Linked DNA regions of Drosophila melanogaster. The gene in region 1 interacts genetically with each later gene. Each region holds a gene or a part of one and is shown in the gene's direction. Other genes may lie near its edges.

The links. Genes that interact genetically often act in the same process or in processes that back each other up.
Region 2: of rut (region 1) and slo, changing one suppresses a phenotype caused by changing the other (phenotypic suppression), as found in Drosophila melanogaster (one study listed by BioGRID).
Region 3: of rut (region 1) and amn, changing one suppresses a phenotype caused by changing the other (phenotypic suppression), as found in Drosophila melanogaster (one study listed by BioGRID).

What each region holds. Positions count from the first base shown.
Region 1 is NC_004354.4:14,823,032-14,827,596, reverse strand, and holds the start of rut (rutabaga), read left to right. Parts: upstream 1-1,523; 5' UTR 1,524-1,635; intron 1,636-1,691; exon of another isoform or gene 1,692-1,851; intron 1,852-2,669; 5' UTR 2,670-2,808; intron 2,809-4,565. UniProt on the Drosophila melanogaster protein: This is a membrane-bound, calmodulin-sensitive adenylyl cyclase. Inactivation of this cyclase leads to a learning and memory defect.
Region 2 is NT_033777.3:24,660,877-24,665,540, forward strand, and holds the start of slo (slowpoke), read left to right. Parts: upstream 1-1,614; 5' UTR 1,615-1,687; intron 1,688-3,487; 5' UTR 3,488-3,919; intron 3,920-4,020; 5' UTR 4,021-4,209; exon of another isoform or gene 4,210-4,548; intron 4,549-4,664. Other genes in the region: Ppox (protoporphyrinogen oxidase), read right to left, coding at 1-849. UniProt on the Drosophila melanogaster protein: Potassium channel activated by both membrane depolarization or increase in cytosolic Ca(2+) that mediates export of K(+). Its activation dampens the excitatory events that elevate the cytosolic Ca(2+) concentration and/or depolarize the cell membrane.
Region 3 is NC_004354.4:19,885,558-19,891,787, reverse strand, and holds amn (amnesiac), read left to right. Parts: upstream 1-1,727; 5' UTR 1,728-4,295; coding exon 4,296-4,838; 3' UTR 4,839-5,680; downstream 5,681-6,230. UniProt on the Drosophila melanogaster protein: Required for associative learning and memory in adults. Expression pattern suggests a modulatory role in memory formation. Controls neurotransmitter-mediated signaling pathways associated with the structure of the larval peripheral nerve.

The sequences.
Region 1 (4,565 bases):
CTATTTTTGAGCATTTTTGTAACGGAATTTTCGAAAGTACCTTTCTTCAATTTAGAAAACTCTTGTTTGGCCGCTGACACAACTTCCCCCATCACTGCACGCATACAAATATGAAAATTATGGCAAAATTTTACTCTATGAGTATTAGGGCATACTTACGATCGATCCAAAAAATCCAATTAGTCAAAAGCGTAGCGTACATATCATTCAAATACAAAAAGACATCAATCCCAGGTGGATCGAAATGGATGCGAGATGATGGATGAGCCAGCAGGAATCTTTTTAAATCCACACCAACGCACTCAGGCACGTGTGGCAAACTATGTTCTAATCCTAAATAAATGATGTGCAATAATTTAGTTTATGTAGTGGCATATACATAATTAAGAAAGTTACATTTTATGCTGTTTACAAAAAGCAAATAACTAAATGCTAGTCAACAAAAACGAAATCAGTTTAATAGTTTTAGTGTGTACGAGCTAAATATTCGGCAAAATGATTTACAAGAAACCCACAAAAATACATAAGAGTGTACAAATAATGGTAAATGTGGTGTGCACTGAAAGAAAACGAGGAGTGCGTTGACAATTCGCACCAAAAGCCGAATCAGCAATATTACTTTATGGAGACATTTGAAATACAAGCGACTTGCAAATTGTCCGCGAATTCTTCGGTTTTCTTCTGTTTGCGCCACTGAGTGTTAAATAATTGCATATATAAATACCTGCATAAAATTATATGAAGTGTATTATACAAAACTGAATGTTTCATTTCGAAAACTGGGCAGTTAGTGAATAAAATGGGGCTGCCATTTTTAATTGGTAACTATAAAGCTTTAGTTTCATTCTTTGTTATAATACGTAAAAAATCAACTTTAAAATTGACTAGTTTGTGTTATGTTATTAAATAATATAGCATTGCCTTTTAACGGTTTTCTATTTTAGAAATTTCATTTGACCACCATTCTTCAGCCTTTTGGTATTTTCTAGTTTAGTATTTCCTACCAAATAAAAAACTTATTCTATGATTATGCCCATTAATTTTTACTCAAATCCCATTTAAAATTTTTGATTAATTGGTGTATATTTTAACTTAATATTAAAAACTATATTCAAAATCAATAAGTAATCTATAATAACACAGTACCTAGAAAACCAGCTGATTGCTGATAATATGTAAGACATGGCGATAGACTTTTGAAAGCTTTTGCATTTCAACTTTTATTCGCCATACAAGTTGCATATAAGTGAACATGTACGCATTAAGATCAGGAACTTTAAAAACCACAACGTTCGATCTCCATCTATCAATTTGAAATTGGTATATATTGTAAATAACGCTGATAATAGGATTTAAAATCACACCAGCTGATATACGATATATCGATTGGGCTATCGCAAGCAGTGGCGCCCCATCTCTACGATAGTGCTTTCGCTGCACGCCGACGAACGCTTCGTGCAACTTCGTGCAGCTTCGTGCCACTCGGTTCGCAGTGGTTCGCTACGAACCGCCGACGGACGCTTTAGTTTGGCTGCAACGCTTTGCTGAGAACAGACCAAATCCGAAGCGAGCGGAGCCGAAGAGAAACCGAACAAACCAAACAAACCAAGCCAAACAATCCGAAGAAATCGCGTCGTGAGTTGTGTGGAAGGAAAAGCGGTTAAATAACGCGGCGATCTTAACTGTTGTTCTTCTTTTTTTTTTTCGGTGCTGGTGTATTTGCACATTCTACTTTTTTTTTCGTTCTATAAAGTGCCACTTTGTGTGTCTCGCTGGTCGTTTGTTTTCTTTTTGTCGTGGGAAATGCGCGCGCGCATTTAAGAAGTGGCAGGAAAACTCCAAACGCAGCTGGTAAAGATTCAAGTTTTCCAAAAAAAAAAAAAAAATAATAATAAAAGAAAACCAACAAGAAAAACCGAAAACCCAAAAAACAACAAAAAACACGAATGCATTGCCAGCAGATGATAAAGAAGGAGAGCAAGAAGAAGAGCGCACCGCGACGCCTTCTGCTGTTGTGGTTGTTGTTGCCGTTCTTGGCCGTGTTTGTTGTTGTCGTTGTTGCCGCTTTTATCTGCATTGTCTTGCGTCTTAACTCGTTTCGCTTTGGCCTTTTCGGCTCTCCTCTCTCCCCGTTTTCCACACTCCCCCACTCTTCTCATCATGCCAATGCGTGTGTGTGTGTGTGTGTGTGTGTGTGCCGTCCATGGATGCGCTTTGCCACTGGCTTTTCCCTCTCTTCTCCACGTTCCTCTGTCTCTTTGCCACACACACGCCTTTTTTCGGCTTACGGCGGCGGCAGCAGCGGCAACAACAACAACAACAAGCTGCCGCAAAAAATCGATAACGGTATTGGCAGCGGCGGCAGCACAAGAAAACGGCAACAACTTCCGCTTCCCCAAAAGTTGCAAAATGTCACCTGCCCCAAGGATTAGATAATCAAAAAGGGCACGCGAAGAGAGAGAGCAAAGAAAAGCAATAACCAAGGGAGAGAGAGAGAGAGAGAGTGTGTGGGAGTGGGCTTAGGCTTGGGCTTGCCACGCCCCCCGCCTTAAAGCGTGGCTGTCACAATTCTTGTTTTAATTAAGAGCCAAACATTCAATTACAACTCGCTTGCTCTCTCACTCGCTCCCTATCGCTGTCTCATTCGCACCCTCTTACTCTCCGCTCAGCCATCTATGCATCTTGGACCTACAACAACAATAATAACAACAACAACAACAAGAGATACAGAACAAGGAGGCAAAAAAGTAACAGAAGAAGAAGAAGCAGCAGCAGTCAACTTGCAACACAATCGTTGTTGCTTTTTGGGTAAGTGTTTTCCTTTGACGAAATTCAGTTTGAGATACTAAGATACTTTTGCATCTCTGAAGTACATATATACGTAGTTATGGATAAGATACACATGAAATCGGGAGAAGGTTGAAACGTTTTTATTCATTTTAATATTTAATACAAATTAGAATATGAGTAAAGTAAATATTATATTTTCTCAATACATGTATATAAAATTTAATATTTTATTGAAAAGAAAGAAAGAAAGAAAGAAAGCAAAAATAGAATGAAAAATATAATCGAAAATCCTATTTAAATAACATGAATATTATTATATATGTAGAACTGAAATTTTATCCAAAAAAGGAAAATAAAATTAATATTAGTACTAACTACTTATAGCGTTTTTCATAAACAATTATTATCTTTAAATTGTTGTTTAACTAGATTCCAGTTGGATATAACACAAATCCGTCAACTTTAACTGCTGATCGTTATTAGCTTACTTTTTATTGTTTCGATAAAAAGTAAGACTTTTAGTTTATGACCAATCATTTTTACGATGATCATACATTTATGGCTATTAATAACAACTACTTAACTGTGTATTTGACTAACTAATGACTTGACTAGATAATTGTAGCTTCTAAGCCAGTTTAAATGGCTTCTATTCATAGATTTTCACTAGGGATTTCGAATTATTTAGCTCATTTATTATCTGAATCATTAGGGCGATGGCTATAAATAATTGCAACCCTTTTAACAAATTGCCTTTAATATTATAGTTTTAAATTGTGTGTGCTGCAGCAGCTGACACATGTGTTTTCTTTTCGCCCCGCCGACTTTTCATATTTGTGTTTGTTGGAATATACTATTCAACCTACAAAAATAACGTTAAACAACACTACTTTATATTTGATATGAATGGCCACACCTTTTATGCCATAAAACATATTGTAAGAGAATACCACTCTTTTTATTCCTTCTTTCCTTCTTGTACGTTTTTTGCTGTGAGTAGGTCGTGGTGCTGGTGTTGCAGTTGAAATAACTTAAAATATAAATCATAAAACTCAAACATAAACTTGACTATTTATTTATTTATTAAGAAAGGAAATATAAATTATAAATTACAACAGGTTATGGGCCCAGTCCATGCCTAATAAACAATTAAATTGTGAATTAAAGATTGTGAAAATAAATTGTGAAATAGCATTTTTTTCACATTCTTGTGAAATAGCTTTTTTTTTCACATTCTTGTGAAATTATTTCCTTCTCAGAATTTGAGTGAAAAATGGACAAGGCTAAACGTAATATTAAGCCGTTTGATGGCGAGAAGTACGCGATTTGGAAATTTAGAATTAGGGCTCTTTTAGCCGAGCAAGATGTGCTTAAAGTAGTTGATGGTTTAATGCCTAACGAGGTAGATGACTCCTGGAAAAAGGCAGAGCGTTGTGCAAAAAGTACAATAATAGAGTACCTAAGCGACTCGTTTTTAAATTTCGCAACAAGCGACATTACGGCGCGTCAGATTCTTGAGAATTTGGACGCCGTTTATGAACGAAAAAGTTTGGCGTCGCAACTGGCGCTGCGAAAACGTTTGCTTTCTCTGAAGCTATCGAGTGAGATGTCACTATTAAGCCATTTTCATATTTTTGACGAACTTATAAGTGAATTGTTGGCAGCTGGTGCAAAAATAGAAGAGATGGATAAAATTTCTCATCTACTGATCACATTGCCTTCGTGTTACGATGGAATTATTACAGCGATAGAGACATTATCTGAAGAAAATTTGA
Region 2 (4,664 bases), on another chromosome or scaffold:
GGCATCCTTGATGTTCATTCGAACCCCGGAGCTGCTGAAGGTCAGGTTCCGGCATTCGTTGCTTAGCTGCACGTTCACATCCCGCTCACCTAAGTACTTTCGCATAGTTTTGGGTAGGTTCTCCAGACCGCCTTTCAGCCCGTACATGGCCCACTTCTCCTTTACCGCCTGCGCATACAGCTTGGGCTGTCTTTCGGCAAATAGTCCATCCTTGGTGTCCTTGGTCTTGTTCTTCTCAAAGCGGGAAATGAGTGTGCCCTTGAGCACTCCTCCGTACTTCTGTTCCTTTTCAAAGAGCCCCTCCATCAGGAAGCGCACACTTATTTCTCGCGCGTCACCGGCGCAAATACCGCAGATCATGGGACTGATGGCGTAGTCGGCTATCTCCTTACCAAACCGCCGCTCAGCGAAACTGTAGATGCTCTCATCCTCCAGCTTCGCTTTCTTGCTTGCTGTGAACAGATCGCGAAGAACCGCTTTGTATAGCGGCTTCGTGAAGGGAGGCAGGACGCCGAAGAGACCCTTGGGACTGTTGGGCAGCATGCAGAGCTGTCCCTTGGCATACAGCATTCGGTTGCGTGCTGCGACATGACTGCGTCGAATGGGAGTCACCTCCAGCTTCAGATCCTCCACCAATTCTAGCGTATTGGCACCTGGCTCACCAACTGGGCGTATGGTTCGCGGTCCGCTCTCGAAGATGAAGTTGCGATCCTTGCGATTCTCCGACCGCACCCATCCGCCCACACGGGGCGAGGCCTCGTAGATGGTCAGCGGCTTCCCGAATCGCCGCAACAGGTAGTATCCGGCGGATAGTCCACTCAATCCGCCTCCCAGCACGGCCGTCGTCATGGTCCTTCTGCTGCTTCTCGTTGCTCCCGAATCCCTTAGAGGATTCAGACTAGTTCTGGTTTGCAGACGAAAAAATCTATGCCGGCTTCGATCGTTCAGACCAAAATAAACCCAGGTGACATAACTATCGTTGAAGCTATCGATAAGCTCAAATCCAAAATCGCTGAGCTTGCAATCGATGTTATATGCGATTGAAGAGTTTTGAATTGACAATTCTGCAGAAAATAAAATCAAATAAAGGAAGGGATAAATATTTTATAAAATAAATAGCATTTATTGTTATACTTATTTTGGTAACTACAGCTAACATAATATCTTATAATCGAAACAATGGTTTTAGAATATTTATTGTTAAATTATGTAAAGTTAAATAAAATATAGTGCAATTGATAATACTTAATTTAAGCATTGATACAAGAATACAAATGCATAGTACTTTTATTTGCCATTATTTTATCTCATTTAACATGCATTTGTGCACCCGTCCCAAAAGTATGCAATGAATTTCTTCCGACATTCCTCATACGCCACGTGTGCATCGTGCGGAAGTTCACTTGCACCTGCATCGGCACCATTACCATCATCATCACCATCACCGCGGCACTGGGTCATTCATAGTGAATGGGTTTTGGCGCCAGTTTTGATGAATCGAACGAAGCGTCCAGCCCGCACCAACCGCAGGACTCCGAAAAGCTCCCAAAGACGAGCTTGGGCCGTGCGGAAGTACATTGGGCCACCGATTTCCATGTCGTCGGAGTCGACATCGCGCAGAATTGTATACGCTGCTGACGAGAAAGGTTGGTCCTCGCGTTTGAGCGCGTCGCGTCTTTTATTCTGGGTGTGTGAGTGAGTGGACTGTGTGGAAAAGTGCCTATCGCGTATATGTATATTCACGGGACCCATACACACACACACAGCTGCAGCACTTGGAAATGTGAAAAATTTTCAAGCTGCGTTTGCCAATTACGGGGAAAATTGAGCAAAAAACGTCTTAAAATCCGGGCAATTATCGTGGCCATTTGCGGAACGGCAATTGTGCAAAATTCGGTATCCGTTGAAAACGGGCTCAGTGAACGTGAAAATGTGCCACACACACACTTACAACGCAGGAAATTCAATTAATTAGTGACCGAGTGTGTGTGTGTGTGTTCGCCCATAAAACGGCGATTGTGATTGCGAAAAAAGTGTTGCATACATAAAGGAGCTAAGAAGTGGACCAACGAGCAACACTAAAGGAAAACTCTTTAGAAATACAGTTTTTCGCTTTTTTTTTTGGCACTGCTGCAGGTTTTCATTTAAAAGATACATTTGTTGAAGTCAACACACACGGACACACACACATGCGCATACGGCACAGTTTTTCGTTCGTTTTTAAAACGAGCACACCACAAGTTCCCCAAAACGAAAGGACGAAGGGACCCGACCCGATGATAAAGTCGATGTTCCAGGCCGGAGATACACTTGTATCGTTCCCCTGCCTTTGCCGCTGCTGTCATCGTCAATGTTATTTTTGTTGCTTCCTACTCGTCGTCCTTCGTGTGTCGCAGGATACCTTGGTATATGTGTGTCAGTCAGTCACTGGCCGAGCGTGGGTGTGTGTGTGCGTGCGCCAGGATACGCAGATACCCAGATACCTACAAATGAAGCCACCAAATCCAGGCGAGTTCAATGCGCGGCCAGGACGAAGGACTAAGCTCTGTTTACATTGGCTCACGAATGCCCATTTTCCAAGCCCCCTGTATTTTCCGCCCGTTGGCGTGCCGTGGGAAATTGTGTCGCCTGCTTATTTATTATGAAAATGCAACTTTCATTTGACTCGGCATTTGTCCCGTTTCCATTGTTTGCAGGCACATTAGGCAGCTCGTTAAGCGCATGAAAGTGTGTGTCCTGCGGGTGTGCGAGTGTGTGTGTGTGACACGAAGGGGAACTAAAAACTAGGGCAGTGTGTTTCCGTTTCAACGACATGCCGCAGGCGAAAGAACGAGTCCGTCCGCAGGACAGCAAAGCCTCGCTAATCGGGCAGGAAATGAATAACTTAAAAAGTTACCAATGACAAGTTTGACATTAAATGTATCATATACAAATAACATGCAAACGAAAGTGATAATTGTAAAGCATGTTGTATATTGCCAAAAATTCTAGTTTTTGGTACCACATTGCGTATGCTTAACCAAAATGTGCGACTTTCGCAGGCAAGGAAAAAGCTTTCTGCCCGACAATTTTCGGATTCCCTGCATCGCGCAGCCGCCAATACGCCAGCAGCAATTGTGAGAAATTGAGAGAAATTCTCAGAGAATTCTCCGAGAACTGAGAATTTAAAAACGGCGAGAATAGTGCTGATTTTGCTTTCAAGTCTGCTTCGCATCTTTATTTATTTATTTACTTGACACGCTTGCTTTTCCGGCTACGGAAAATGGTGATACAATGTCTAAAATAATATTAATTTAATAGAATATATATACGAATACAAATATATACGTAATATCATTGACAAATGTCTGCGGTCGTAAAAAAATTAAAAACGCAAATAACGCTGACAGCCTAACTAAAAAATATAATTAATTACCGCGTTCGTCGCGCTGCCTTGGCAAATTAAAAAGTATTTAAATTATCGCTCAACTTAATAAATCTCTTGCAGCTTAACACACAAGGAAAAATTTCGTGGGCAAACAAAGCTAAATAAGTTGTGAAAGGAAACATGAGCAGTGTGACTAAGCGCAGTTTCTAATTTAACCAAATTCCAATTCAAATTCAAAAGAACGAACAACTATTGATCAAGACGGCAAAGAAAGAAGCAAACAAACCAAAACGCACAATGAAACTGATAAGCTTAACGCAGCTGATAACACAATGAAACTCATCCACGGATCCGAAATGCAATTATGAAATAATCAGCAAGCCGCAATCCATCAGCCAGTGAGGAAAATCCAGCCAGCCAGCCCAAGAATTTCCACGTGCAACATTGGCGAGCCGCAGCGACCACAAATCGTCCAAACACATTGATGTGCGATTTGAGCGTGTGAATGTTGGCAGCCCTGGAGCCCTGCCTCGGTGGTTTAGCCAGTACTAGGTGAGTACTCCCAGTCCTTCATCCATTCGCCCAAAAAACACTGTTCCAAATCCCAATTCGATTGCACCACCACCACAACATCCATACACTGTGCCGCATAGAAACCCGAATATGAGAACGGATAGCGAGGGGAAAGCCGTAGCAGCCGCAAGATCCACTTCGAAATCCAGAAAGACCATCAACACCACATCAGCAAGCGGTCCGCCCGGACCGAAACCGGAACGAACATGGCCAGCTGGTGCCCCAATTGCCACGAACTGCCACCGTTCTATCCGCCCATCACGCCAAAGGTAAAGCCCTTGATGTCGTACGTGATAAATCCACAGATACATATTCGTACGCCTCGCTTGTGAAAGACCATCTGAAATTGTAGAAGTCACGTTAGCGGCTCTGCAATGATCTGTATACGGACTACTGGGATTAACCTATCTCTCCAGCTCGTCAATCAATCAATCATCAATCAATCAGTCATTTTTCCAGCGATAGTTCGCAGTGCTAGACGCTGCTACTCTTATCACATTTTGCTCTACTTCGAACATATAAAAGGCAGTGATCTTTAATCCAATAGCTTATCACTTTGTTTTGAATCCAAAGGAGCGAGCTCATTATATTATATATATCATTAAAATGTAAGCCTTATTTCTGTTAATTAAGTGTACAACTTGGTGTAAAACGATAATGTAATCGAGAGATATTTGTAAAATTTGTTGTAAATATATATAATGTACATAATCTTATCAGTACT
Region 3 (6,230 bases), 5.1 Mb from region 1:
GATAGTATTTCTGAATGCTTACTAACCTAAAAACTCGTTTTGATCTCCTAGCCGCATAGTCAGTTATTTGTTTAAAACATTCTAGGCAAAGCAAATGGATCGAGTTTGAGCAGTTTCTTCAGAAAGAACGCTTTTATGGGCCCGCTAATCATCACATTTCATCTATGATCGTTCGATCGATTGTAAAAGAACACAACGTAAAGTTCACATCTTAAGTGAAATTCCGAGTATATCAACAGATAACTTATTACAATAATTCAAGTGAAATAGATAAGGGATATGACCGTGTATCTAATCTAATCCGCACATTTAAAACCAAACTTCCTGTCACATATTAAAACAAGATGGTACGAAGTCTTTTTTTTTTTTTTTTTTGAAAACAAATTTATCCGACGTAAGAAAATAATGGTCAATGGTTCAAGCGTTGGATTTGTAAGATCCGCATGGCTAGTTATGATAGTATTTTTATACTTTTGGTGATTTTTGATTGCAAAAGCAATGCTTTCTTCTGGTATCCCGCTGAATCCCAATAGTAAGATTCGAATAGATAATACTGCCGTATTTGTATCTTTGCCGTGTTTTATAGCTATATAGAGTTGACGCGTGCTAACTGCCCCTATATGGTGGTCCCAGTTCCCCAAACCCCTCGATTATCCAATGGCCGACATTCAATTGCGCAGCGCGGCGGCAGAGAACTACAGTTAATTGCATTTACAATATTGCCACAGTTAGGTCGATTCTTTATGGTTTGTATAGATTGTATGGGTTTTAGGAGAATGCGAATCTTTTGTGGGACGGAGAGGGGCGGTGCAGCAAGCATGTTCGTTTAACGATCTCCCCAGCTCATGTTTATTTATGAGTTGCCAATCGAATCAATTTCATTCGACTCGACTTGACTCGGACTTGACTTGAATCGCTTTCAACTGTTGTTGTGCAGCTGCAAAATGCAAATTTTGGACAAAATCCATGGTACGTACACATATATACATATGGATATATGAACGTCTGTATGTTGTGCACCTGTGTTCAAGTTAAACGTAGTGCCGTCCTCTCCTTTTAATTATTAAGTAATATACATAAGTGTATAGATCATATCGTCTAATATGCAGAAAAGTCCAATCGAACGGATGAAAGGAACCTATCAGCTTTAACATCCTTTCTATGTACGTATGTACATATGTATGTACACATACCTCAATTATATCCTGTACTGCATATGCACCAACAATTGTGAAGCATTGAAGCATACATAATACATACATATATTTCATATATATTACAAAGCTGTTGCTACTGATCAGAAACTCGTCTATTATAATGCCACAAACACACCCCTTTACCTGTTGCACGCGTTTTCCCAAAGACAATATACCCCTTTTCTGAGCGACTAATTGAAATAGTCCAGTACGAACCCTTATTTTGACAACAGCTGCACGAGTGGCTGCATACGATATATATATATGTATGTATGTATGTGTGTACATATATGTACATGTACTGATATGTGGTATGGATTGGGTTCCCATAGATGGCATGGCTTGGCATGGCATGCAGGTCTAGGGCAGTGCCAAAACCGACGACGAAAGCAACTATCAAATGCCGTTCAAGGCCGTTTGAAATTGCGTGGCAGGCAGAACAAGTTCCACACATCGGTGTGTGTGTGTGTGTGTGTGTGTGTATTGTTATTAACCAGCTGATGTGCGTCCGCGTGTGTGTGGAAGTCTTCGGAAGGGGTGCGCACATCCTAAGTGCGCAAAAGCCATGATTGCAAGCTTTTCGGACTCGGAAAAACAATACAATACCAACGGCAGATTTGGTCATTCAGGCAGGCAAATTGTCAAATAACTAACGGTTACTTTAGTGCTCATTAATGTTTTTATGTGCTTTAATAGATACGCTACTATTTTAGTTATTTCCCCAATGCAATACGTTAAGATACTCATCTACTAAGAGACGAATTTTTATTTACCCATTAATAATAACGGATGATTCGGAAATCGCATACGAAAACGCCTTAGTTGTATATTTACTCCTTTTTCTACCCTTACTACCGTATACGTAATAACAATAATGAGCCAGAGACGATTGGTGGCTAAGTATGTACACTGGCGAAAATACCTTTCAGCAAGCATAACCATAGCTTCCTTTTTACAGGATCCAGATAAAACGCGCAGATAAAAATGTTAGGCAGTGACATCTGTTGCAGATGAAAAGGATTAAGAACTACAGATTCAAAAGGCTGCTCCTTTTCTTTCAGTGTGAGAGAGGGAGAGAGAGAGAGAGGGTTTAGGTGGAGGCAAGTCGGCAGGGGAGCAGGAAGCATGAAATTGAGAGAAAATAAGGATAAACAAGCCGAAGGATATGGGACGGCACTGTTGCTTCGCAAGTGTGTGTGTGCACGTCCTGACCGCGTGCACACACACGCCGTGTGGCCGTGTATAAGTGTGCGAGCGAGAGGGGGCGATCGATGGTGTGAGTGACTGGCAATAGCCGCCGCGTCTTATTGACATTAAAACCGCTGCTGCTGCCGCCGCCGCCGTCGCCAGTCGACTTCACATATACCCGCTCTCTCGAGTCCCTCCCCATACCATTCCATACCATCCCATCCCTACCATTCATCCTGGCTCGTTCTTCTTCCTCTTTTATTTTTAAATAACACCCGGCGCAGATGCTAAACAAGACGCCAGAAATTAAAGTGCAAAGGTGTGTGCTGCAGCAACAACAGCAACAACAGCAACAACAACAGCGTCCTCGACAGAAGGACGATACTTTGGCGTTGTACTTAGCGTCAACCGAAGAATACGAAGACAAGGACCGCGAACAATGTGGGATCAAGGATCTAAGCAGATATATATGTATGTATGCACATATACCAAATGTTCCGAGCGTCCACATGGTGCGGATTTAATCACGCACACACATTGGCATTCATGAAAGGATATCGGATATGTATAGAGTATCAAACGGAACCGCTGCGCAAGATGGAAAACAGATTTGATCGCTAATCAAGTAAATAGATGATACATATCATTGTCAAACTTGAAATTAAATGAATCAAAAGTACTGAACATCCTGAATCAAGCAAATGACATATGGCATCCTATGTGAAAAAATAATATAAAGGATCTCTTAGTGATCTCATTCAAGATTAGCCAACTATCTCCTCGTGATATTATAAAATATTTACGACTCACTCATATCTACTGATTCATGCACTCCTTTGCTAAGAGAGTTATTTATAGGAACTGTGATCTAAGAAGGAAAACTGGTGGAAACAATATGGGCTTTTTCGGAATCTATTTTAGGTCACTTGTTAATATTGTTCCATTGCATATTTAATCCATATGAATTTGGTCTGTGGTTTCTGATTATCAATTTTCAAAGCCCTAATTGCAGTTGAAAAACCGCAGTGGAAAAACACATTTCAATTCGATTTGAAATGAAGTTCATGGAATAACCGAAACGTAGTTTAAATTTTAATTAAAATTTTAATACAGTTTGTCAAGTATTTTCGTTCCAAATCAAATTTGTTTAGGTTTACAAGCGTAATTTTTATTGTTTACCAACGTGATAGATGTACAATAAAAATATATAAACGATCTAGACCCAAGCAATTGCATTAAAAACTTGACAAGCTGTATGTACATCTACATTATTTTCGAGTAAAATAACAACAAGATAAAGCTGGCTTGTTCTCAACAACTATCAGGCTAAAAAAAAAAAATGAAAATAAAAACAAACAGAATCGCAAAAAATTGCCGAATGGAAATTTTGTGGCACGCAAACTTGTTGCTCCATCTGCGTGTGAGTGAGATGTGTATGCTAGTGTGTATGTGAGCCAGTCTATGAGCGCGCGAGTTTGTGTGTGTTTGTGTGCGAGGAGAAGCTTACTTTGCGATGTTTAAATAATAAATGATTTATTTATTTTTCGGTTTGTTTTTGTTTTGATTTCCACCTGGGCTGATGCATTTTGGTGCCCACTTTTACGAGAAAACGCCGAACTAATCGTTTTCGTTATATGTATTTATTATTATTTTTTTGTTGCTTTTTGCATGTCACCAACAGAAACAGAAAAAAAAAACGAAACGAAACACACTGAAAAACGCGCGCGTACACTTGTATATATGTGAATGTGCGCTGGTATTGGCGCGCGTGTGAGTGTGAGCGAATTTGCAAGAGACGGGGCGTATGAGCAATGCCGTGGCGAAAACTTTGCCACTTTTGTTGTCTGCGACGAAAGCAAAAACAGCGAGACACCGTAAAAAAAAAAACAAGTAATATAAACACAGCTTTACATGCGCAGTTTTTGTTGTTGTTTTTATCCGGCTGCTGTGGCGTTGCACTGCGTATTACTGTTTTACACTTTTTTTTTACTTTTTAGAGCGTCCGCGTTGCGGCGACGCGTTGTAAGCGGTTCGAAAGGTAGCGCAGCACTGGCGCTCTGCCGCCAATTCGAACAGCTGAGCGCCAGCCGAAGAGAGAGAGCCGAAGAGTGCCGAACGACGCAGCTCCGCTACCACTACCACCGCAATGGCGCTCAGTCGCGGTCGCTGTGCGCTGCTGTGCTCTGCTGTAAGCGCTCTTACATTCCGCGCCCGAATTTTTCGTGCTTTTCCCTTGTTTTCCCTGTGGGCCAGCGTTTCGCTGCTGCTCGGACTCGGTTTGGGCCAACACTTGTCGCCTCTTGGCCATTATGCAACGACAGCGAAACGAAGGTGCTCACGAAGTGGCCAAGCTGCTCTCTGATTGGTCGGCGGTCAGTGCCACGAGGCCAGCCGAAGTTCTCTCGCGAGAACCCAAGAGCACTCTCTCCCTCTCTTTTGGGAGAGATGAGATAGCAAAGAAAAGCCAAAACACTAGAACAATCCAGAAGCCAAGTTTTCCGGCTTGCACATACGCCGTATAATCCGCATTTTTTGCGAACTCTAAACTCGAGTCTATCAGCTATAATATTACAATTCGTTCACTATAAACAAATAAACTAATATAATTTTGCTCAGAAATCGATGCACTATGATGAGAGAATAGTGAAAAACAATTCTCAGTTAATAGCTTTTAAACTGCTCTGCAAATGGGAAAACAAATTAAAATATACACATTTTCATGCCAAATAATAGGATATCCTATCCTTCATTATATAAGCATAAACAATGAAAATATTCTAGCTCGCTTTGATCTTTTAATGTGTGTATAATGTATTAGTACGTGTACTTTAGTCAAAGAACTATGCACAAATACCGGTTGAACTTTTTTTGGGTATGGAAAAGCAACCGCATGTGAGCGAAAAGAATGTTTGGGGATTGAAGGCGTGATATTGGGCGGAGTGGCCAAAACATTGGCAAGGGAGCCATCAGCATCAGCATCCACATCCACATTCACATCCACATCATCGCCAGCGTCGAGAGCTCTTTCGATCGAAATAAATTCGAATCGAGTGCGATTCGTCAACAAGGCGAAGATAAAGATTTCAGAGCAATAGAACAGAAAATCAATGTTATTCAATCAAAAGCCAATGCAAAATTGCTTTGCACTCTGGCACACTGCTATGTAAATATGTTAGAGATTCAACTTTTACAAATTCTATTTTCCAAGTCCAAGTAAATATTTTAAAGAACTATCGTGCTTAAGGCATTATTATGATTAAAAATAAACTGATTGCAGCTGATAAGAATCGTGAATTCAGCTCATTATAGTCTCAACGTACTTTGTGAGCACTTTGTATTGCCTCGCTTCGGTTGATTTATTTATTTCTTTTTGGGTTTGGTTTGGTTTTGTTTTGGTTTGCTTTCTATTTTCTATAGTTGATAAGGATAAAATTGGTTCATACTCGAATTATTGTTTTACCTCAGAACATAAAATAGTTGCAAATAATACAAGGCAGAGAGATTGATGTTTTAAGCAGTAAATAAAGGAATGGTATATTCATATAAGGATTATATATACATTCAAAATCCAATAATATCAAATATTTCGGATATCTCAACAATCTTGCCAAAAGTCGGAAATCTCGCCAATAACGTTATTTTTTGCTTATAAAGAAATCTGTTTGCCGTTGTTTTTGCACAAACACTCAAACACACAAGCCCAGCTGATAAGATAGTCGAGAGTCCATAGAAATGCCAAACCGAGAACTATACGAAAGTAAGAAAGTAAGAAAGTGCGGGCAGAAGGAAGTGGGTGCGGATGGGATCGAATTTAGCGCGTGCCCAAATGTCCCGTTAATGAATACA